4 linked regions of the Saccharomyces cerevisiae S288C genome follow. The gene in region 2 interacts genetically with the main gene of each other region. Each region holds a gene or a part of one and is shown on either strand. Other genes may lie near its edges. The genes, in order: TMS1, SMP1, NDI1 and ELA1.

Evidence for each region.
Region 1: mutations in SMP1 (region 2) and TMS1 together harm fitness more than expected from each alone (negative genetic interaction), as found in Saccharomyces cerevisiae (2 studies listed by BioGRID).
Region 3: of SMP1 (region 2) and NDI1, changing one suppresses a phenotype caused by changing the other (phenotypic suppression), as found in Saccharomyces cerevisiae (one study listed by BioGRID).
Region 4: mutations in SMP1 (region 2) and ELA1 together harm fitness more than expected from each alone (negative genetic interaction), as found in Saccharomyces cerevisiae (2 studies listed by BioGRID).

The regions. Positions count from the first base shown.
Region 1 is NC_001136.10:663,638-669,941, forward strand, and holds TMS1 (Tms1p), read right to left. Parts: upstream 3,134-6,304; coding exon 1,712-3,133; downstream 1-1,711. Other genes in the region: SPO71 (Spo71p), read right to left, coding at 1-1,273; ARP10 (Arp10p), read left to right, coding at 3,367-4,221; TMN2 (Tmn2p), read right to left, coding at 5,379-6,304.
Region 2 is NC_001134.8:591,639-598,276, reverse strand, and holds SMP1 (Smp1p), read left to right. Parts: upstream 1-3,412; coding exon 3,413-4,771; downstream 4,772-6,638. Other genes in the region: YBR184W (uncharacterized protein), read right to left, coding at 1-914; YPC1 (phytoceramidase), read right to left, coding at 1,212-2,162; YBR182C-A (uncharacterized protein), read left to right, coding at 2,722-2,916; 40S ribosomal protein eS6 RPS6B, read left to right, coding at 5,503-5,508, 5,861-6,565. UniProt on the Saccharomyces cerevisiae protein: Transcription factor that controls part of the HOG1-mediated osmostress responses. Binds to the DNA sequence 5'-ACTACTA[TA](4)TAG-3'. Does not appear to function in the MPK1 pathway.
Region 3 is NC_001145.3:27,766-34,170, forward strand, and holds NDI1 (NADH-ubiquinone reductase (H(+)-translocating) NDI1), read right to left. Parts: upstream 2,043-6,405; coding exon 501-2,042; downstream 1-500. Other genes in the region: Rag GTPase GTR1, read left to right, coding at 1-97; YML119W (uncharacterized protein), read left to right, coding at 2,846-3,919; NGL3 (3'-5' poly(A) RNA exonuclease), read left to right, coding at 4,569-6,086.
Region 4 is NC_001146.8:214,188-220,536, forward strand, and holds ELA1 (elongin A), read right to left. Parts: upstream 4,476-6,349; coding exon 3,336-4,475; downstream 1-3,335. Other genes in the region: BNI4 (Bni4p), read left to right, coding at 1-413; exosome non-catalytic core subunit CSL4, read left to right, coding at 736-1,614; PDR16 (phosphatidylinositol transporter), read right to left, coding at 1,800-2,855; URE2 (glutathione peroxidase), read right to left, coding at 4,950-6,014.

The sequences.
Region 1 (6,304 bases), on a different chromosome or scaffold from region 2:
TTTTGTTTCGAGCATTGTGAACATGTTTTCTTATATGATGAGAATGTTTAGAGGCTAGCCTATCGTGTATAATTCTCTCTTCCTCCGTCAGTTCGGTAGGCCATGGAGGTAGGATATTAATAAACGGAAGATGACTCGAATGCAACTTACCAATGTCCACGCATGAACCTCTTTCTCTTTTTTGAAAGGCATCCGCACTTTTACGTCTTTCATCGAGATAAGTCCCATATTTCTGGGATGTTTTCCACAGCATCAAGTTTTCCTTTTCCATACTTTGTAGAGCATTAAAAAAAATCTTTTCATTTGCATTTAATCCCACGTTATTGATAGTATTAGATGTTGAAAAGCCATCACTTAGGTCATTCGAGTTAACAAATTGTCCTGATCTACTTAGAATACTATTTGGGGCGGGGCTTGTCCGATTTGTTACTTCAATTATACTGTCGGGATATCTCAAAGTATCTTCAGAAGGTTCTCTATTATAATTAAAGTCTGTTTCTCCAACACTTCTGGCTGAAGAGGGGCTCGGTATTCTATCAAAATGCGAATAATCTTTTCTGGATATGCTTTTTGATTCCCCTAGATCTTTTCGTTTCAAATTCGAAAGGAGTGATTTATTCCTTTTATTTGTATTTTCTTGATCTTCTTCATGTAAAACTGGGTGGATATCCACGGCTTGCGCCGTATCGATGAGAGGCAAACTATTGTTTCTAGAAAGCTCTGATTTTTTTTCTTTCAAAAGCTCTTGTCGCATGAAGTTTTGATCGGAAGAACTCCTACACCTTCTGGGTAGACTTAATTTATATTCACTTTTCTGCACAGGACTTGACCTAGTTCTCTTCATCTCCATTTCCGCTTCTTTAAGACGATGACCGTTGTGAATTGATGTATTATCTTCATAGGACCATGTAAAGTGCTTTCTTAAGTACAATGCAGTTGGGATCTTCCCTACACGCTTTTTGTAAATTGTTCCATAGCCATATCTTCTTAGCATGTCAGATTGCTTCCTAACCTTCCGAAGTGAAATTTTAGTTAGAAGTTTCCAGACTTGATTATTTTGATCAGCGTACCATTGTTTTGGAATACCACCTAGCAAAGTCACCTGTGAACATGCTGAAAGCTCTGTAGGTGAAACATACGACAGTCTAAACGCTGTGAAGGAATGCCGGGGAATGGTGAAGACCTTGACATTTGCATTTTGTGGTGAGCTGAAGCTAGTCACTCTCTGCGCGTACTTAACATCGTCTTCAACAACATTAACGATAGAATCCATATTTCGAAATGTTTCGAAGACAAATCCCTTTCTTTTACAATCACTGTATGCTGACTTTTGTTATTGATATTTTCACCAGACATTTCTTTAGCCACAATGATTTTGTTTTACCATATCTTTGAAGCACGGCGCAAACTCCGAATATCGCATAAAGAAGGTTGAGAGAATGTTTTCTACCTTTAAAAGAAGAAAAGAGATCCTTCGAAAACGGTCGATCGATAATAACTGTAATTGGCATTTCAAATAAATAGAGGATAGTTAAAATAATCCTCGAGAAGCGATATCTCAATTAGATAATTAAGATCCATTTTTTTTTGAGGGAGGTTTACTCATCTTCTTGAAACTAGTGCATGAGTATAGTAAAATTAGTGTTTCTACTGGGGGCTACTTAAAAAAAAGTTACATACATTATAAGAAAATCTTTTTGTGTTAGTCTATTTAATAGTAATTCTCGTAATCAAATCTATCGGGCATAATCGCTGGGGCTACCACTGTCCAACCGTAAAGGGCATAACATATCCATGCACTAACTATTTTTACCCAAGAATAAAAATATGTTCTTCCTACGGGTATAAAATCACCTACATCATCCTGGGTAACGTTTATTGTTAGTAAAATTGCAATCCACTGGGTTGCCAGAAAGAATATAACGTGGAACAGAGTGTAATTGTACTTGGTTCCAGTCCTTTCATCATCATTTTGGTTATCCATTGCGCCTGTAGGAGATGATGTCCCTAACCAAGCGGTATCATATAAGGCACTTTCCGGTAAAGATCCTTCTTCTACAGCTTGTTTAATAGCTTCATACCTCAACTGATTTCTTGTCTGTCCACCTAGTCCTTCGTACTCGATATCATTCCCGAGATATATAGCACCATTAGTATTGGTGCCTTGAAAAGCACTATTAGCAGCGGCTCTAGTTGTGGTGTAAGCAATCGCAATAAAAGTAAATAAAGAGCCCAAAATGATACTAAACTTACGGGTTCCACTAGATCTAACCAACGGATTACACATTTTGTCATCCGGTTCGGAAGACATGGCACTCATTGTCAAATAAGTACAGTAAACAGAAACCATACTACTTTGGGCCAGCCCACTTTTAGGGTTGGCCTCTTGGATCTTAGGATTCACCGATAAGACAAGCGTTATAACAGTTAATATTAAATTGACTGTTACCGCTGTTTGATTCATGTTACATTGTTGATGACAAAACATAACATACATAACAACAGTCATGATAATCGATGCGGTATACATTGAAGTTGTCCCTAAAACCAAAAATCGTTGCCAGAATGAGGAATCTTCATCTTCTGACTCAACGTGACTAATACACGTTTCAGCCCACTCATGAGCGAAGTCTACTAATAATATAAGCCCAACCAGGATGAAAATTGCTCCACTAGGGACTGACACCCACTTGGAAAAGAAAATATAAAAGTCATTGGGGATGACAAATGACAAAACAATGAGACATAAATACAGTATAAATTTTAAACTCCACCACGAATTCTGTAATGCTGCTCTTACGTCATTAGTCGACTTTACGCCCGTTAGTACAAGCGCCAATATCAAATGTAAGCATCCCAATGCAAAATTCAACCTATGAACTGTAAAAAATCCACATTCCCCAGTCCCAGTACATGTCTTCCCTGGCCATAGGATTGATTTGTTCGCAGAATAGGACACCCATGATATCAATGAGTTAAGTAAAAGCCAAACGGCGTACAGAAGTCTTGTCCCTAAAGAAGAAGATCCTAGGGAAGATGCAGTCTTAGTCACCAAGTTTGAGCAGCAACCTCCAAAACAGGACGCCACGAATGAGCCCGCCATGCTAACTGGCAAAGAAATTACGGCACCCATGGTAGATTGTTGTACTTTGTGATGGGTATTTTGATATGAAGTAAATCTGTTGTTTGATTATAAACTTCGTTTTGGGGGCATAAAGACCTCAAAAACAGTTCTCTTTTTTGTTAGAATCTAATTGTCGGAACTTCTATTGTAGCCGAGAGACATAAACAAAAGAGGTACAAATACTACAATATTCGACACTGTGAAATGATAAAAAAAATCTACCCAGGAAACCCTATGAGGAAATGTCGAATACTATTGTGATAGTCTATTTGGGAGCTAACAGAATCGAAATTGGAAGAAGTGCTGATGCGTGTCCACAAGAAATTATCGCCTGGAAAACAGGTAGTATTAATGAAAAAAATAGGGAAGAATTGAAAAAAATATTTGAACATTACTTCCAAATTTGCAACATCTTGGGAAATCGAGAAGTACAAGTGTTGATACTAGAAGATATCTTCATTTCTGTAGTAGAGAAAAGAATTATTTGTAGCATCTTGTTTAAGGAATTTGACTGCGCTCACGTTTCGTTTGTCCCCAGGGCCATTGTGCACTGCTTATCCTGTAATACAAGGAATGCCATAGTTATAGATATAGGTACCAATTATACTACATGCGTACCTATTTTCGACCTTAGACCTTTGCAACAGTTCATAAAATACTCAAAACGAGGCAAAAGACAGGTTGAGTCAAGAATTCCTCTCCCGGGCAGTCTCTACATGCCAATATTTTTTGACGAAGAATACAACTCTAAAAATTGTGAAGTAGATGAAACCCCGGTAATAAATCTTGTCAAAAATATTGTAGAGTCACTTCCTATCGACTTGAGAAGGCCACTGAGAGAAAATATCATTATAGTAAACATTGAAGAGGCGTATGAAACAGTAATAAGGAATTTATTCAAGTTAAAAATGGATACGTCCAAAATCCAGTTTCCTAAAAATTACTGGCAGGCTGGTTCTGCATGCGCGAAAATACTTCTGCACTATAAGGGGAGCAACATTGTAGGAATAGAAAGAGATGAGTTTTATAACAATCCTCATATTGCTCCTGATTGGTTTGATTATTACTTCAGAACTGGAGTGAAGCGCTTACAATAGGCTTTATGTATATGTAGAAAACAAAAACAGGAAGTGTTCTCTTCACCAAACTGCGTCTTTCCACAACAATTAGCCTTATTGAGCTTTTGATGTAAAAGTTTATGATAGTAAAGAGCTATTTTTAACAATAGAGGAGAAAAAATAAAAATGGTCTCTAGCGGGATCGAACCGCTGATCCCCGCGTTATTAGCACGGTGCCTTAACCAACTGGGCCAAGAGACCAATTTGGATCGAAAGTGTTGTATCTCAAAATGAGATATGTCAGTATGACAATACGTCATCCTAAACGTTCATAAAACACATATGAAACAACCTTATAACAAAACGAACAACATGAGATAAAACACGGCCTTCCCTAGCTGAACTACCCAAACGTATAAATGCTTGAACAATTAGTTTAGATCCGAGATTCCGCGCTTCCACCACTTAGTATGATTCATATTTTATATAATATATAAGATAAGTAACATTCCGTGAATTAATCTGATAAACTGTTTTGACAACTGGTTACTTCCCTAAGACTGTTTATATTAGGATTGTCAAGACACTCCGGTATTACTCGAGCCCGTAATACAACAGAAAGTTAACCATTAATATTTCACCTAATTACACACTCTCCTAAAGAATTTGGATTTGATAACTATCATGTCATTTGAAAGAGTAACTCGTTTTCAGATTTATTATTGCCGGAATAAAAATAAATAAATATATCGAATAATATTCTTTATTATTAATGTCGAATGAGTTGTTAGAAGACTTCATAACAATTATCGGATTTAATGGAAGCTGAAGTGCAAGAATTGATAATTTAATAAGATAATGAATTTAATATAAAATATAAACGGAGAGAGAATAATGTTGTTATATAGAATTGTTGATTCCCTTTTGCGGATTTCTTATATCCTCGAGGAAAACTTCTAATATATATCCAATATAATCGTTTCCAAATTGTGAAAGAAAAAAAAATCTTCAATACAGTGTATTAGTGCTACATAAAAACGCGTTAAAACTTGCATTCCAATTTATCAAAAAGTTTGCCAGGACATATAGGATATAAATGCATTGCGAAGTAAAACACTTCTCAAAAAATTAAAAAAAAAAAAAAAAATAAAACTAACGTATTCACTTCTTTTACTTTAGTGGAGAGAATAACGAAATCACTCAACTTTAATGGCAGAGTATATCTTCCTAATAAAAAACATACTACTAAAAAAACCAATCGCTCCAGTGACGACACAACATAATGCAGATATAATAAGTGAATATCCGAGATAGAGCACGACAGTAATAACTCCACCAAGCTTGAACTTAGTAAATAGTATGGAGTGGATGAACGTATAGATTGAACATCCTAAACCACCAATAATAAAACTTCTCCATTGCCATAGCCAGTTTTCTAGACATAACGAGTAATATGTGATCAAGATGGTAACTAATGAGGTTGTCAAGGTCAACAATAAGAATGAAAAGAGTAAAAATCCAAACATATAAAAAATTTTGTTGAACCATAAACTGGAGTAAATGAAGTACAGCTCAACCGCTATTGATCCGAAACTGAAAATTCCAGCGATTAAGGTTGCTTGTGCTGTTCTCAAGTACCAGGGTTGATATGGAATCTGTCTGGCGATTTGGTTTGTTTTAGTTGGATGCTCATCCCAATTACACTGCTTATGAGCAACAATTGAACCCGCAAACGACAACGGAACAGAAACTAAAAACCATAGAAGAATGATAAAGAATAGGCTTCTCGCTGGGATGACACCTGAAGAATGTGCAAATAACAAAAAGAAGTTCATTATTACAATCAGTAAAAAAATTGCTCCAGGAAGTAATATTGGCGTTAATATCATATTCGCCTTCCAATAGGGTCCACGAAAAAATTTGTAGACACCCATTGAGGCGTAGGATCCTACAAATCCAAATAATGCATAAAGAACAAACATTACAGTTGGCAGGGATCCTCTGGAAACAGGCGACACAAGACCTACTGCGGCAAAAAAAATGCTACACATGACCATCAAAAATAACTGCATACCGGATCCCACAAGAATGGATAGCAGCATCGACTTAGATGGGGTTCTAA
Region 2 (6,638 bases):
GGTAGAAAACTGAGTGTAGAAGAAATATTTGCAATACAATTCGATTTAACTTGAAGTTGATAATTAAAATTGCTGAAGAAAACTCCGCTATTACAATTTTCAGAGGTGACTATTAAGTCATTTCTCTTCATTTGTAAAAGTGAGAATAATCGTAATATTTGCTTACAGTAAGGAAGACGTATCGCATTAGGTATCTTATCTTCTGAATTGTAATCATATCCGGAAACTTTTTTGGTTCCTCTTACTGCTGCAAATAGAGACGAATCTGAAATATCTCCCTCTTGTACGTCTTTTTTGGGTAAATCAATATTTCCCTGAATTTCTTGGACTTTAGAACATGAAAGATTTTTCCGTTTGCGATTTTTATTGCGTCTGCTAGCAATCTTCTCTATAAGTGCACATATGTCTTCATTGGGGATTTGGGACCAATTCTGATTTTCTATATCGGTATTTTGATTCTCATTTGTTGGGAAATACTTCGTCTTTTGTAATGGGGCAGATTGCCTTCTAGTTTTATTTTTTTTATCTGCTATGTCTTCTAAAATTTTACAAATTCTGCTCGTACTGAGTTGAGACCAATCGTGCCCTTTCTCAACATGGACGTTTTCCTTCTTGAGACATGGGATAGTTTTCATTGATAGTTCCATTTTGTTTTCACTTGCGCTCGTTTTGGCATGTTGAATGGCATCCGCCAGCATTCTTGCTTTTGGGTAATAAGGACAAATATCCATTATATCCAAATCTTCCTTTTCCTCATAGCCTGTAAAATTATTAGGTTCGGATACTGTGTGCTCTATGTTGTTATTAAATGTTATTATTGGTCTTTTGTGGTTTCTTAATATTGTTCCACTATCGTATTGAAAGTTTGATTTTTCAGAAGCCAAAATAGCATTCAATACATTATTTTGGTACATGTCCCGAATTAGCTAACAAATTTCTTAGTATTTGTGTTACAACAATTAGAGATTTTGTTTTGTTTATTTACTTTCATCAATTCACGTTATTTTGCCGCCGACGGCTTTGAGACCGCACAAAGTTTTTTTTCACCAGAGCAATAAGCTGGGTCATTTAAACTATTCGCAAATCAAGGATTCAAAAGATCTTTTCTTAGATATATTTTCTTCGTGATTCGTCATTAAATAGAACATGAAATAAAAAAAATAAAAAATAAATATGCCTATACATTATGAATATATATTATGCTATAATTATTACTTCTCCTTTTTAACTTCAATTGATTGATCTTCTACGTATGGGCCAAATAGTTCAAGTGAATATCTTGTTGAGGGTTTGCGCCCTTTCCATATCAGTTCAGGGAAGACTTTCCATCTCCAGATGAACTGGTAATTGCAGCTGACGTTGAGCGTAATGACCCTTAAATGTTCCAAAGAAACAATGTAGAAATAAATCCCCATACCAGTTAATATATGCCACCATCCGTGTGGTTCAAGCAGTACACCAAGTGGTAAAGCCAAAATACTTCTTCTAACGTGCACCCAGAACGAACAATAGTGTATATCAAGTAGCCACGAAATGTAGCCAGATAAGAACAAAATTGCGCCGAGCGCCATTGAAGCCTTGAGATTTCTTTTGGCAAGTGGATCATGGACGTATCTGTACGTCAAACTTCCTGCAGTAGCAGCCACAACTACAATCTGTACGCCAAACAAAATTTGATGGATATCGACATTTTTGTAAATAACGTAGAGTATGCTTGCTGTTGTAACGGCCAGGCCGATAATTACGCCGATGAATATCTGTTCAAATAGAGGAACCTTCTTGTGATTATCTCCGTTAAGTAATGCCTCTTTGGCCTCGCATACTAAACTCCATGTCGGAATGCACATGGCGTATATCATTGGAAGTTCATCCAATAGTTGGAATCTATACTTCAGTGTCATATGAAATAGCCATGATCCTACTCCGACCAAACCGTACCCGAAGCCAATAAGTAAAAACCTTTTTTCTAATTTATTCTTGTAAGCAGAGTAAGTTGTGTAAATCGCTGACAGTATGAATACGCTGTTAGTTAAAGTGTTTGACCACTCGGCAATATAGGGAGAAACGACATAGTTCTCCTCACACCAGTCAATAGTGGAAGTTGTTTCTCCCCAAACGCCGGGGACAGAACTCTCTGGATAGTTCCAACGAAATATTCCCATCAATCTTCTATTTTCTTAAATAAAGATTTCTGCTTTTATTTACAAATTAATCTCTGTAAGTATCGGACCTTATAAAAACCCCTTACACAATAACTATATAGATGTATATAGGATATATAGATATATATATGCAAATATCTTTTTCCTATAAGCGATAAAAATAAAATGCTACCCGAATTCTATTTAGACATATATAACCGGAGACAGATATTTTTTATGTCATGGGGTAGAGTAGTGCGTTTGAAAGTATCAAACAAAAAGTTTCAGGGGCCGGATCTAATCGGCATAAATATTTTCCGATGTCTCGCGTTAAAAAACTTGCGTGATAATCCGTCCGCACTAGTGGGATCGAAAGAAGGGGCGTGGTCAGAAGGGTAACGTTATGTGAAACCCTTGCCTTTGAATCTTTCCTGCTATGCTACGTCGGCCGACACTTCCATTTGAAAAAAATATAAACGATGGTGTTGCCAAGTATTTTTTTTCGCCTTCGTTTAACGTCAGCATTACTAAAAAGGTTAATGGTTGGCGATACTAACTAAAAAGAATTTGTAGAAATGCCATGAAGATTTTCACGCTGTATACCATGATTCAGCAATACTTTTTTGATAATGGCGGTGTTTATAGTATAAAGAATTTTTATTCTGCAGTTCCGAAGGAGAAAATGAACATAATTCTTGTTTCACTTGATTGTGAGCTCCAAAAGCTTGCTCTTAAGCTGTCAAAGAAAACTAGTGGCACTCACACTACGCACTAGCTTTTACACCACATCGTTATTGTTTTCCATTAACGCTTACGTAAATTTCATCTATCATTCTACCTGTACCGTTCCCGATGATAGTGGCTTACAAAACGGCTTGAGGTACAGTTGGTTCGAACTTTTTGCATTATTGTTGCCTTCTTTTTTTAGTAACAAGCGGCGTCTTTGTTTCTTCTGCAAAAATAATCTCGCTCGAGTAATTGGAGGCTTGGCAAAACTTAAATCTCCACGCATACCCGGCTTCCTATGTTCGTGAAGGACTCAAAAACATGAACTATCCTTATCCATCTTTCTTTTGCCAAATTATTTTAGCCAATCTATATAACACTACATCATTCCTTTGAGTCTTTCTTTATCATTCATTCGAAGGGAGAAATATACGAGCCAAATTCAAAGACAGACTATTTTTTCGAGCAGGCCTATCTCATCAGAAAAAAATTTAATAAAGCTCTAGATAAGCAAACACAATTATTTTCAAAAAAATTTCTGCTAAATGGGTAGAAGAAAAATTGAAATTGAACCTATCAAAGATGATAGAAATCGTACAGTTACTTTCATAAAGCGAAAAGCAGGACTATTTAAAAAGGCTCATGAATTGTCAGTACTTTGCCAAGTAGACATTGCTGTCATTATTTTAGGATCCAATAATACATTCTACGAATACTCTTCTGTTGATATGAGTAACCTGCTTAATGTTCATCAAAACAACACTGATCTTCCTCATAATATCATAGAACCATCTGATTATGGTGACTATGTGAAAAAACCACGTGTTGTTCTGAATGAAAGGAAGCGCAGGCGAAGAAGAGCAACCGTGTTGCAACCAGCTTCCCATTCTGGGAGTTGTACAGTTTCGAGTCAAGATTCCTCCAGTGTACAAAACAATGGGAATTTAAGCGCTCCGTTGGCGTCAAATGACGCCGGGAACGCTGGTGTAAGTACACCATTGGTGCATTGCCACGGAGCAATATCACGTAGCGGATCCAATCATTCTGACTGTGCAAGAAATAGTGCAGATTATCAAATGTTGCAAGGCGGTTTAAATTCTGGTGGGAGTTTTCATGCTAATGATTATAAAGAAAGCGTAGACCAACAGCATGTTGCAAACGAGGCTATTCATAGGAATTTTATGAACAAGAGGATTAGGCCGGATACTCATTTACTACTTTCTGAATCTAACCACTCTAATTATCATAATTTTTACCCGTCGCCTTACGAGAATTTGCCAAAGCCTTCATTGCCTGCAAGTTTAGTGGGCAATATTCCATCCTTTCAATCGCAATTTGTACAGGTTATTCCGGCAAATAGTAACCCAATGGGAAAAGGATTTAATGGGACGGGTGACAGCGAGAGCTTTGAAGCAAAGCAAAAGATACACCCGACAGTTGCTATATCAAATACTTTGGAAGGTCCAGCTCCAGTGCAGGCGATGGTCCATCACCTGCACCAACTGAACAGCAATAGAGGAAAGCTCTCAGGGAAGCCATATTTAAAGCTAAATATTCCGAAGGCCACAAATGACGCTTGCCAGAGGTCGCCAGCAATGTATTCAGGAACCGCATCACCGAAAACGGATGTACAAGCCACTCCCAATCAAATGCTCGCCAGCAACATGTCCTCCCCTCTTTCTCGTTCAAAGTTTTTGGGATTCAAGAACAATGATATGGACGACTTATATCATAATGGCCGATGTGGCAGCACTTATGTAAATAACAAAACATTCTTTCTGAAACCGCCAATTGGAAGACCGCCTAAATTTCCGAAAAGCCCGTCTTCATCTATTGTGGTTTTTCCTTCCTCGGTAGCTAGTTCAACTTTGAAATCCACGAGTTCGACAAACTCTCCAGATTAATGAATCGCTTTCTAGCTACTTTTTACTACAAGAAAGCATTCGCTTAAAATTAAGAGTGTATGTTGGCGCATTTAGGCAAACGTCTTCTAAATTAGGGCTATAGACAATTATGTCGCTCGTACATTTTTCAGATGTAGTGACGCAAATTTCTAGCAATTTGCAGGTAGTGCTCCACGGCCCCCTTCCAATTTTTGTGCACTCAATCGATCAAAACAATAGAGACTGCCCTGTTAACTTCTCAACATAATTATGTAAAAAATTATCTCATTAAGCCAGATAGCAAATATATCACATATTGCATTGATTAATTTGAGAAAAATATACATGTATCTTTTCAGTTAATTTTATTAAAAATAAATTATTTCCTTACTTTTTTTTCTACAGTTTGCACCATTAACCTCTTTTCTTGCATCCATACATCTTTGAACTCCATACATCTTATTTTTTTGCTGTTTTTTTTCAGTGTCTCGGGCATACAGGCCGCTTATCTTCATGCCGGCCCATCATCCTAGGAAACTCTTTCGGTATGGGCCAAGGGCAGGCGAAAATCCTATGTGCGTGGAGCTGATACAATCTCGGCTGGCTTGGTTTGTAGGGCACGGTCAATGAATGCCTGATGGGAGAAAAATTCATCTTTATGAAAAGTGATCTTAATTTGAATAGTGTGCCCTTCAAAACATTTGGAAGTCATTAATTGAAACTATCCAGTGTGAATAGACGACTGAGCCATCATGAAGGTATGTAATATCACCCAAATCCTTAGAATTCTAATGAATCAGCACGCGCTAACCGGCTGTTTCTGACTGTTTGATAAACGTATACCCACAAATTAGTGCACTATAATAAAAATTCTCAAGAACAACGTTGTTTAAACGAGATAATTCCCTCTAATATACACGTACCGACACTTAGGAAAATATCTCGCTAAGTTCAAATTAAGGAATGAAAAAGGAATTTACGAAAAGGGTTTAGAAATATCAATGAAAATAAGAAAAACCTGTAACGGAAGAAAGGACAGCAGGGATTCGTTGGAATTTGTCGATATTGGCTTCGGACAACTTTACTAACAAATGGTATTATTTATAACAGTTGAACATTTCTTACCCAGTCAACGGGTCTCAAAAGACCTTCGAAATTGATGATGAACACCGTATTCGTGTTTTCTTCGACAAGAGAATCGGTCAAGAAGTCGATGGTGAAGCCGTTGGTGATGAATTCAAGGGCTACGTCTTCAAGATCTCTGGTGGTAACGACAAACAAGGTTTCCCAATGAAGCAAGGTGTTTTGTTGCCAACTAGAATCAAGTTGTTGTTGACCAAGAACGTTTCTTGTTACAGACCAAGACGTGATGGTGAAAGAAAGAGAAAGTCCGTCAGAGGTGCCATTGTTGGTCCAGATTTGGCTGTCTTGGCTTTGGTCATTGTCAAGAAGGGTGAACAAGAATTGGAAGGTCTAACTGACACTACTGTTCCAAAGAGATTGGGTCCAAAGAGAGCTAACAACATCAGAAAGTTCTTCGGTTTGTCCAAGGAAGATGACGTTCGTGATTTCGTCATCAGAAGAGAAGTCACCAAGGGTGAAAAGACTTACACCAAGGCTCCAAAGATCCAAAGATTGGTTACTCCTCAAAGATTGCAAAGAAAGAGACACCAAAGAGCTTTGAAGGTCAGAAACGCTCAAGCTCAAAGAGAAGCTGCTGCCGAATACGCTCAATTGTTGGCTAAGAGATTGTCTGAAAGAAAGGCTGAAAAGGCCGAAATCAGAAAGAGAAGAGCTTCTTCTTTGAAGGCTTAAGTATGTCTTGGACCTGCATAATTTTTATACTTTTTCCTTTTAGATATATGTACTTTTGGCTTAATTTAATATA
Region 3 (6,405 bases), on a different chromosome or scaffold from region 2:
GTCCAATATGGTGTGTTTTATAGTGTTGAAAGATATGAATATTCCACAAGAATTAGTATTGGAAAACATCAAAAAAGCCAAAGAGTTTTTCCAATGACTGAGGTGAGTAGACGAAACATTCGGCAATTGAGTGTTTGCGGGGCATAAGAATTATAAAGCTTTCGTTACGTATATACAAATGGGATTTGGCGTATAAAATAAATAGAGAAACATAAGAGGAAGAAATAAATAATCACAGATATATATATAGGACAATGGGAGGAAAAAGCTGAAGTGATCAACCAATCTTGTCGGGGTTTTTTGCTTGTGCATTAGTCAAGCATCATTTCGAAAAAAGTGGGAATATATAAATAATAAAACATCATGTGCATTTTTTTGTGCGTGTGTGTGTGTGTTAGGTTTTGTTTAGAGGGTTTTAGAAAAAAAAGGATGCAAACTCAGGAAAAAACGGTGCCTACCACCTTTTTTCCTTTTTCCAGAAAAGGGCATGTTAATTTCATCTATAATCCTTTAAAAAAGTCTCTTTTGAAAAATGCTAATTTAATCCAGTCGAAAAAGACCTTTAATCTCGATCTTGCAGATAGAATCATGGACAAGTACAAAATTCTCCATAAGTAGAAGGTCATTAAGCCACCACCGGTGTAAAATGTTCTCTTACCGGAACGTATGGTTGCAATGGCCCTTTCGGATCCCAGGTATGCTAAGGCACCTAAATCGTTGTATTTGAAAGGTTTAAAGTTGTTCTCCTCGAACAAGAGATCAATTTTATCCTTTCTTGAAGATAGATTCTTTTGGAAATTTGGTATTTGAGCCATTTTATCAAAATTCTTGGCCAAATATTCGGCCTCTTGGTGCGCTACTTGGGCGGTTGGTGGCAACCCAGCAAATGCATTGTCACCAATGGCGAAAATGTTGTTGCTGCCTTTCACCTGCAAAAAGTCATTCACTGCCAATCCTCTCTTGGACGAGTTTTGCTCAGGAATTTTCTTGAAAAGGTCAGTGATTACCGGTCTTGCCTTGTTACCCGTGGCCCAAATCAAAGTACCGTATGGAATAGTTTCTTCGGTTATTTTACCGTCTTCGTGTTTGGTCTTTGCCAACAATTGCTTTTCTTCAACTTTGGCGACAGCCGTTCTCAGATGTACTTTGATCGAAGTGTTTTCTAAATGTGATTGCGCGTATGATGAAAGCTTTTTCTCAAACATATTCAAAACGATGGGCAGAGCTTCGACCAAGTGAATTTGGACTTCTTCGGCCAATGCAGGGAGAAACTTTCTCAGGTCCTGGTGAACATAATCCTGTAGTTCACCAGCGGCCTCTACACCAGTAGGCCCACCACCAACCACGACAATGGACAGTAGTCTTCTTCTTTCGGGATCACCCTTTGGCAATAAGTTAGCCTTCTCTAGATTGGCGGCAAAAGTTCTTCTTATTTCCAAAGAGTTGGGAATTTCCTTCAGGAAATGACCGTAATCAGTGACCCCAGGAATACCAAATGTGTTAGGTTCCGCACCTACAGCACTGATTAAATAATCGTACTTAATTTCAGCAGGTTCTGCTTGATGCAGCCCTAGATGGTTTTCAGGTTGGTATAGCTGGCTAACGGCAGATAATGATTTTATGGTAACGGTATTCCTGTCGGGATTGATAGAGGTGGCTTCTGCCTCATAGTAGGTAACGTTCCCCTTTTTCTTGAGAGCAAAATTAACGATGGGCTCAATAATTGACTTTTCGTCTACTGTCCCAACTGGTGCAGAAGGTAACAAAGGCGTAAATAAGAAATAGCTTCTAGGAGAGATGATGGAAACGTTGTACTTCTTGGTGTCAATGTGCTTTAAAAACGAAATAGCTCCCCACCCCGAACCCAGTATCAGCACGTTTGGTTTGTCGCTGTGCTGAGGGTCAATGACTTTCATGGTCTTAAAAGATGTAGGACCTGCTCCGGAGTTTTCCACCCCTGTGGATCTGGTGGAAGCGAATCTGACTAGCGTATTCGTCGAGGTGAGCAACCTCTTGTTACTATACAAATTCTTCGATAGCATAGTGGTTTTTAGTTTCTTCTCTTGGGTAAACGTGTAATTCGATGATGTGATGAAACTGACACCCTACCTGAAACTCCTCAATTGGTAGTTAAAACTCCTTCCCCACTATGCCCTATACATCTTATATATACCCTGTCGACGTTGCAAATACCGGCAATAACCAAGAGCGCTAAGGGGGAGCACTCTTATTGTGGTTACCCGGACGTTCAATGCCTTCATATGATTGGTCCGAATGAATAGGTCATGAGAAAATGCATATTTTTGAGGCATTTCAGCAATGATCGGCAATCTGCACATATTCGTATTGTTTCCCTGAGTAAGTTATTTGCGGAAAGAGACATTCTATTGCTTTGGAGTATTTTGTGGTCTTCGACAATAAAGCGAAGGAATAATAGGTTCGTTGCTAGCGACAAGCAACACATAGTTGTAGTGATGCTATAGCAAAGAAAGGTCACAGATTCATTATTGACCTTTTAAATGGTGCCCAGTGGCAATTGCCGTTTTAGCATTCTTTAAATGCGTAGTATATGAGTTTTAAAGTGCTTTGTTGTTCACGTGCTTTTCACGTGTATGATTACTTAACCGGGTAGCGCCGGTCTTTAATATGCTTTCCAGATTAGGAAAGAACATAAATAAAAACACAAAATAAGAAAGTGTCAATCATCCGCATTGAAAGAAAGAAAAGATTTTTTTATCCCTCAATTGTACATGAAAACAGAGACCTTTCAAAACGTATTTTAACATTCTTTTACTCTTTTCTTGCACCTGCAGCCTTAGGTCAGTAAGAAAAAAAGTAGGTAGCAATGAGCCCAAGTCCATCAGTGTCGCCAAGAAGGACGCTCAATAACAAATCATCTTACATCAATAACAGCGGTGGGCTGGTCCTGCCTCCTACGCAGTTTAATTTGAATCAGCAGCCAGTCCTGAGCTTCCAACAAAAAGCGACTTTCGATTCCAACCAGCAGTTTTTCTATTATCCAGAGTCACCCACAAAAAACCTGAGACCAAGGTTTAACAGTATTTCGCAGGTTAATAAAGGAGTTAATGAAGACCATTATACCGGGGGCGGTAGCAGTAATAATAACAGGCCATCTAGATATACAAATACCATGGGCGCTGCAAACACCAATGTAAATTCCCATCCGCATCATCAGTCGGTGTCGCATTTAAATTCTAAATCTCTTAAATTCAATCAAACGAAGGAAGTGAGCAGCATAAATGAAATTATTTTTCCTTCCAGAACGTGTACAAAGAAACGGTATTTTACCAAGCCAATTGATTTGTATGGTACAAGAAGTAGCACTAGTGTGGCACCTAAGTTGACGAATTCTCCCACGAAATCAAAAACAAATTTCAACATCAAGAAGTGCATCTTACCTAGGTCCGTCGTTACCACATATAAATTACCATCTCCAGTGCACGAAACGATAGACGATATATCCAAAAAAATCATAATCCTGCTAATTTCGTTGAAGTTTGAGAAAAACTATCACTTCTTGCAACCTATTCAATTGTCCACAAATAGTAAGACACGGATCTCAAAATCACTAGACGAATTATGCGGAGTGCAGCTGACATCAACGTTACGGCAACAAAAGCAGCTGCAAGGTAACAGCAAGCCCGTAAAGAATCTCCCTAATTCCAATGCGAAGCAGAGAGCCGGGGCCAGTGTTTCCACAAATGCCAACGAAAGCTTTGAATTGAGTTTTGATGGAAAGGCAATGGATAGATCTGATATATTTCGAATGGTAGATTCTTTTAGCATCGCCATTTCAGATGAAGATGAGGAAGATGAGGAGGAGGATAGCTTTCAGCAGAGAAGTGCGAACAACAGAATCCTCCCTGCGGAGATACTAAGTAATGAACCTTTGAAATGATACGGATTCTCTGTATTCTGTCTATAGTATTTATATACCAATACATTTTTCCGCACTTTGAAGTTTTGCATTTTACTTAATGTAGTTTATTATTAGTTGCCAAAACGAAACATTTAACATGTGAATTAAAAATACAAAAAAAAGCCTATTAACGATCTAAATTTATGACAAAAGACATATAATTATTTTAATGATGCCTTTGTCACAACCGAACACAATATCTTTGAAAAGTGATCCAGCAATCGAATTCAGAATTCGTTGTGCCATTTTTGCCTTACGTTTGCGCCATTGTAATTTCTCTGTGCCGTCTTCTCTTCACTTTATTTCAATATTATCATGCAGTAAACAAGTTGCAGAATAATAAATAATATACGTACCAAATATGTGAACAACTCAGATACTATTCATTTGATATGTTAAAAGTCCTGCATTCCTCTCCCGACATTATATATAAAATGCTCAGCCACCCCTTCGTTGCACAGAAAAAAAGGATGACCTATAATACCAATATTCAATCACAATAGTTATACCAAACTAACACATGGTTGAAGCAGACTACTTACTATCGTGGAGTTAGCTCACTGAAAATTTAATATTTACAGCATTAAACAGTTTTTTCTTTTGTTTTGTCTCCTACATTAATTTCAATATGGATAGCCAAGTAGAAGGCAAAATATCCCCCTCACAGAAGGAGTCCTCCTCCACCTCAGGCCTCGTTTCACCTAGTGAAGATGGCCCAGCACATCAAAAAATACACAGAGACCAATTAAGTGTGGATCAAATCAAGAAAATCAGAGAAGAACGTGCTCAGAAGAGACAGGTACGTAGGAACTCTCTAATATCCCAAGGGAAGGACCCTGACTTCCCAACGCCTGACTTACAATTCATTGAAAGACCATTCCTCCCTATCAACCATGATAATTCGAAAGGTCTTACGCCAGCGACCATACAAGTCACCCAAGATTCATTGGACGTTAAAATAATGACCTATAATACTCTAGCACAAACCTTGATTAGGAGAGATTTTTTCCCAGAAAGTGGACCAGCGTTAAAGTGGCATAAGAGATCAAAAGTTTTGGTCCACGAATTGAAAAAGTACAGGCCTGATGTAGTATCGTTGCAGGAGGTCGATTACAATGAACTCAACTTCTGGCAGGAGAATTTCCATAAGTTAGGGTTTGATGTGATTTTCAAAAGGCATGAAGGGAAAACTCATGGACTACTAGTTGCATGGAACAATAAAAAATTCCAGTTAGATAATGATTGGATGCTGGACTACGATAATATATTGGCGGGAAATGTCATTTCAGCAAGAACAAGAACTAAAAATATTGCCCTTATTATATCGCTATATTTCAAGGGTATAACAGATTCATCATCAAGAGGAATTATCGTCGCAAATACACACCTATTTTGGCATCCCTTTGGGGTATTTGAAAGATTAAGGCAATCTTACTTGGTTTTACAAAAGATCCAGGAAATTAAAGCATGTTCCAAATATAATGGCTGGCATAGCCTACTGATGGGTGATTTCAATACCGAACCTGAAGAGCCACCGTACTTGGCCATAACGAAAAGACCACTGATATTAAAAGGCCCAATAAGAGCTATGGTGGAATGCTCACTAGCGTATCGGTATTCAAAAAAAAGGAATGGAGAAGAAAGTGACCAGGATGATGAAGAGTGTGATGAAAAGTCTAGGGGCGAAGGCCATTCAGATCAACCACAAAACCCAAAACCAGAGAGCTTTACAGCCACAAAGGAAGAAAAGGCTCTGGTAAATCAATTAGTTGCGTTGCATAATTCACTACATGTGAAAGGCGTATCTTTGTATGGGATTGGCTACGGTAAAGTGCATCCTGAAAATGCTAACGGAAGCCACGGCGAACCGGGACTCTCAAACTGGGCCAATACATGGTGTGGATTATTAGACTACATATTTTATATCGAGGGTGATCATAATCAGGACACGCGTCAGAAAGAGCCTCTGAATGCTTTTGAAGGAAATAACAACGTAAAAATAATCGGATATCTGAGGATGCCGTGCGCACAAGAAATGCCCAAACACTCCCAACCTTTCGAGGGAGAATATGCTAGTGATCACATTTCCCTAATGTGCCAAATACGCTTGTTTTTTGGGGGGGAGAAAGTGCATAGCTTAAAATAAAGAAACAATATATATAAACAACCTACATTTGTGTTTGAAAGACAGTAATCAACGCTTCGATGGTCACTGGGATTTTTCTTTCAATTTAGCGTCACTTTCACCTTATTCACAGCTTTTACGTGCTATTTTTGGTCACCCTTCCCCTTTCGTTGCGCCTCAACGGGCTAAAAAAAAAAAAATAAAATCAAGCATAGAAACACCACAACAAACCTGCCCTTTTTCCTTGTTTCAGGTTACGTGAAAAGCATCCAGAGAAGATATCCCAAAGACTGAAGAGGTGTAGTTGGCTCATTCACGTCGTTCGTTTATATTATCAAGG
Region 4 (6,349 bases), on a different chromosome or scaffold from region 2:
AAGATTTCAACAAACACATAGAACAGCCCATAGAAGTTACTCCAAGAAATAATGCATATTTACCAGAATTCGAACCCAATAGACCTGTTTCAATGTCCTTTAAAGGACTAAAAGCCCCAAGAATGAATACTTCTTTTATTGACTCCATGACGCCTGATTCTCCCGTAAAATCAGACTTAACAAGTCTAGGTGAGGTGTATGTAAACAGTAATAATGACCAGGGTGTCCGGTTTTCGTCCCAGATAATACTTTACGACACTTATGGAGAATTCGAATATGATAGACATCCAGAAATTTCCACTTGTAACCAGCTTACTCCACAACTGGCTCAAATGATCAAATTGGAATTAAATGAGTTAAAGAGCGCAATGGAAGTACACGATGATTCGCGATGTTACACACATTTTTATTAGAGCAGAAAACTGGGAGAAATGGAAATGAATCAAATCATACATATCAAGACATTCTAGTTTTTATAAACCTATAATTTATCGCAAGAATCTTGGGTGTTATGTGTTGTATTTGCGGCATCATTTCAAAATACCGTCTGCATTACCCGTCTCCGTCACGTGAAGTAAAAATTTCCAAAAAATATTGAAAAAAGAAAGAAAAATAAGATCCAGAATTCACTGATGATGAGCTTATGGTACGGCATGATTAACTACGCATTTGTATATTAAAGATTCTTTGATTTTTTCCAGAGCATTGAATACCTCAATCTATAAGTGTATTATAATGGCATGCAATTTTCAGTTTCCAGAAATAGCTTATCCAGGTAAACTAATATGCCCACAGTACGGTACGGAAAATAAAGATGGCGAAGATATAATTTTCAATTATGTGCCCGGTCCCGGAACTAAACTAATTCAATATGAACACAACGGACGAACTTTAGAAGCTATAACTGCTACACTAGTTGGGACAGTGAGGTGTGAGGAAGAAAAAAAAACTGATCAGGAAGAAGAGCGTGAAGGCACTGATCAATCTACAGAGGAAGAAAAATCAGTAGATGCATCACCTAATGATGTCACAAGAAGAACTGTAAAAAATATTCTGGTTTCAGTGCTTCCTGGGACAGAAAAGGGTCGTAAAACCAACAAATATGCTAATAATGATTTTGCCAATAACCTACCGAAGGAAGGTGATATTGTGCTGACCAGGGTGACAAGGCTTTCGTTGCAACGAGCCAATGTCGAAATTTTAGCTGTGGAAGATAAACCATCTCCAATTGATAGTGGCATCGGCAGTAATGGATCGGGAATAGTCGCTGCTGGTGGCGGTTCTGGAGCAGCTACGTTCTCTGTTTCTCAAGCATCATCAGATTTAGGTGAGACATTCAGAGGTATAATCAGGTCTCAGGATGTACGGTCTACAGACAGAGATCGTGTGAAAGTGATAGAATGTTTCAAGCCGGGAGATATTGTTAGGGCGCAAGTTTTATCATTAGGTGACGGAACCAACTACTATTTGACCACTGCAAGGAATGACCTTGGGGTCGTGTTCGCCAGAGCTGCTAATGGTGCTGGTGGATTGATGTATGCTACAGACTGGCAAATGATGACTTCACCGGTTACAGGCGCTACAGAAAAGCGCAAATGTGCCAAACCTTTTTGATATGTAACAGCTTATCTACAGTGCATATAGACGCGTATATATTTAAAAGAGGGTATTCGCTTCTTCTTCTTTAGATTGCATTCTTTGATGGTTAGGAAAAAGAAGCGGGAACGTGATTAAACTTTTTATTCTCTTTTATTTATTATATATTATAGTGCATTATCATTATCTATCTAAATTTGCCTTTACACGGTACTGCTTTCCGATTTTACTGGGTAAAGAAGTTTTTCATGAGTACCTCTTAAATCAACCTCACTTAAACCTACAATACCACCGAAGCTTTGAAACCTCTTAAAATAATGATCTCTTTTTTCACGCGCGGTTTCCACCAGAGCTGGCCAATAAACATCATGATTGTACTTGAATTTCAGATCACCACCATACAACGAATCTAGTTCGTTCTTAGGGACATATTTAACAAATGGTTCATCAAAAACTAGCTTTTCACGGGTCAGTGGGTCAATAAAAGGGTGAATTAACTTCAAGAAAGTCCATGCTAACCAAGGAATATTCGTCAAAAGTGCTTTTCCTAGTCTTTCTGGATAATGAGTTTGTAGAATATGCAGCACTTCTTTCCCTACACCAATAGGTGGGATTTTACTATTGCCAGGTACTTTAGGAACATCAGGGTAATCTTTAAAGTCTATTAGCAAAGCTAGAGAGTCTTGACCAGCTGGCATAAAATCGATAACTCTTTCCAACATGAAGACCAAGTGCTGTACCTGTCTGTGAGAAGTCTTTGTATTTTGTCTGCCCGGTTTCAAATATAAGATAGGTCTAGCATCGTTTTCGTAACCCAAAATCACCTGCTTACCTGATTCGTTCTCGACGGCCACCAAGTCAGCAGTTATTTTATCACCATGCTCTTCACCTAAATGACTAATACCGAATTCTCTTCTCCACGCTAGAGTCATGGTGATTCTATCGATACAGTCTTTTAGCACCCATTTAGTAGCCCTTAGGTAACGTAAAAAACATTCTCTTGTCAACCATGCCTTTTCTTCTTCCTCTAAGGGTTTAAGATCATCCTCCGACTTATTTTTTTCACTTGTATAAACCTTCAAGTCAGGGTTACTGAAATGTTTTAGCACTTCGTCATACATTTTTTGTTGCTCACCTGTAAGTGGTTTTTCTTTTGGAATAGCTATCGAAGCAGGAAGTTCTTTGATAGGCTTATCAATATTAATCAAATTTTTTGGGTCTTCTGGAGCCTCCTTCTTTTTGCTAAATCTCTTGAACATTTTTTGCTTTTGTAATTTTTTTTATATAAAGTGGTTTTGTATTATTTGTTGGATGGAGAGAAGGGAACAGTTAGAAACAAAATAAGGATTGAAATATTTTTCTAACGAAGAAGTGGTATTAGTCTATCTAGAACTGATATATATACATACATATATATATATAAATATATATATATTCAGACAATGAGCACAATATTGTGCATGTACAAGAGTGGGATGCGCATATAGTGCATGAACCTATTGCGATAAAGATCTGGCAATATATAGAGAGATATATCGCATGCTTGCACTCAAATAGAGTCGGGTGGAATGAAAAAAATCATAAAAATTACTAAGACGGAAGACAAAAAGATGACGCGCAACGCGAAAATCGCTTATAAGCAGGGATGCCGTTGCTTCCGGTTGCTTTCTTTCTCCGCGGAATGACTGGACCCGTGGGAAATCGCAGGGGATGTGACGGCCTTCGGAGTTGGGTTACTGCTATTTCCGTGGCTCATAGATATACGGACGGGTAGTAGGGCCGGTTGCGGTCACGTGCGGAAAACTATCTCCGTCAGATCCGGCATTTCGTACGAAAATTCCGGATTTCTTCTTCTTGTGGCCCTTTGTTACGGGATTTGCGGTGACACTTGATATTGAAGTTACAACATCTTTGTGGGGATAAGGATGAGAAGTAGTACGGTGATCGTTGGTGATCGCTGTTGTATGGGGTCGAGAACCTGCAGCGTTTGTCTTCGGAGTAGGCCTGAATAGCGCAGGTTTTTTACGATTGAGAAAGATTGACGGTGATTCGGATCTTCTCTTCTTCACCGGCGTGATGGGCTGCGTAACATCTTTCTTCTCTGCTGTGACATTATCCATTTGACGATTTACCTTAACAGGCTCCGGTTTGATGGACAATGGGCCTTTCTTGGGGGAAGACGATTGTCCGCCCGCTTGGCCACCAAAGGCCACACGTTGCGCATGCCTTTTTGCAATGTTGAATCCGCCGTCTTTGAAATGCTTTAGTCTGGACTCGTGATCTTTCAACGATTTCATGTATAATTGCGAATGGGGTTCGTTGTGCAACCTTGTAGTCTTCTTGGTGTTTCTCTTTTTGAAGTAAACAGTGTGGTCAACCACTATGGTTTGCTTTTTTTCTCTTTCTTGCTGCAACTTCTGCATTTCCAGCCTTAATCTCTCTGCGCTTTCCTCTTGTTTCTTTTCCACTTCTTGTTGGTACTTTGAGTATAACATTCTGTATGGTATTCGGTACTTGTTGTTTCGGATGTCTTTGACGACTGATTGACGCACGCAAGACTTCAATAAATCCTGATTCGAATGGTACAGTTCTATATCGTTTTCCTTAACGAAATCAAAGTAATATTTGCAAATAATGTCTCTCTTAGAGACAAATTGTTCGTGTACATTAGTCGGGAAATCTTGCCTTAAAAATTCTAACCATAGTTCATCATCGTCAAATATCAATAGTACGTTGCTTTTCTCAAGTTTTAATAGTTGTGGTATTTTTACTTTCTGCAGTATCCTCTTTAATAAGTGATAGGGGACATTACTCACAGATTGTATGTTTGAATGATTTCTCATCAATGAGATTTCACATAGTGTTTGTAAACTTTTCATATCTCGACATCAATCGATTTATACATTCACTAGAACGTATTTCCATGAACAAAAACCGTTTGCATGTAAGTTACATATGTATCTAATCGTCATAACTGAACAAATCCCTTCTTCGCAAATATTAAATATTTGAAATTTTCTATTGTGATCTTTCTTAAGCCCATCGTGGCAAATGCCGAGAAAAATACGCAATTGTACCAGCTTTATTGAAAGCGCCAGATATACAGTGACAACACCCCGAATATAGTTGAGAAATTTATAGTATTTCAATTATTACATAAAACAAAATTTTGGAATTCTGTGGTTGGGGTAACAAAGAATAAATAGAAGCAACAGAAATTTCAAAACTATTATATACTTCTATGACATTTTTGTTTATATTTGCACTTAATTTTCCTTTTTGTCTGCCTATATACATACCCTTATAACCTTCTTTTCCTCCTTCTTCTTTCTTTCTTGTTTTTAAAGCAGCCTTCATTCACCACGCAATGCCTTGATGACCGCGGGTCTTCTCATCATATGCTTCGTCCATTTGTAAACTTCTGGAAATTCAATTTTGATATTAATGCCAATTCTATCCACGACATTATTCCATGGGACAAAGGCCAAATCTGCTATAGTTAATTTATCTCCTACAAGCCATACGGGATAATCAAAGAAACGACTTTGTGACATTGGTGTTGTACCAGCTGAGTATGCAGCCGCATTTTCCGTGTCTAATTCCATCACCAGCGCTTCTCTACGTTCAGCCAAGGCCATCTCCACTACACCGTAAACTCTTCTAACCTCATCCGTATATCTTTCTACAGCACTTGCTATCTTTTGTGAATGGAAGTATCTGAAATGTAAAGCTTGTCCAATCATTGGCGCATGCCCTGACGTTTGGAAGAACAACCATGCGTTGATTTGTGATTGGTCAGCTAAATCATCGGACCAGAGTAATGGATTACCAGTCTCTTTGTAATATTTATTTACCAAATGTAATAAAATCGCCCCTGATTCCCAAATAGACAAGTTGTCCATACCATGATCGATTAAAGCTGGAACTCTTGCATTAGGGTTCACAGACACAAATTCGGGGGCCCTATGTTCGCCAAGATTGAAATCTAGGAAGATTGTGTTATAATGAAATCCAAGTTCACTTAGTACTATAGCAACTTTGAATCCATTAGGCGCAGACCTGTGAGAGAAAAGGGTATATCCCTCCAGTGGTTGTTCTTGAAAAAATTTTGTAATTCTGGAATACTCCACGTGACTCATATCCGAAAATGCCTGTTGTTGTTGTCGATGTTGTTCTAAGGTATTCTTGATATTATTCTCGTTATCATTATTTTGGCTACCATTGCGGCCGCTGTTATTGTTTTGAACATTATTGTTATTACTACTGCTATTGTTATTATTATTATTATTTACACCTGTTGAAAATTCAAAATTTATATTACTTTGATCGGTGGTTGTATTACTGTTCCTGTTTCCTATGTTTACTTGACGGAGCGCATTGGAGAGATTCGACACTTGGTTGCCGTTGTTATTCATCATTTGGTGTACAACTTAATTTGCAGCTTAAAACAATATGACTAATAACAAAAAATGAAAAACTAAAAATAAAGAAGTTCGTACGGGGGATCTTTATTCCTCTTCGATTCAATTCAGTGCTATAAACAATTCCAAATGAGCTGTTTGAAAAGGAAAGATTTTTGCTATTCTTTTCAACCTCGAGTAAGGAAGCTTTCGTCTTTGTATAGTTGCTTTTCTGGCCTAGTAGAAAGGAAAACTACATGCTGAAGCCACTCTTCCTCAAAAATTCAATAGTGGCAGCTCATCAATCCTCCTATTCGGCGAGAATTGAAAAAAAAATTCCAGGCTGCGTCACC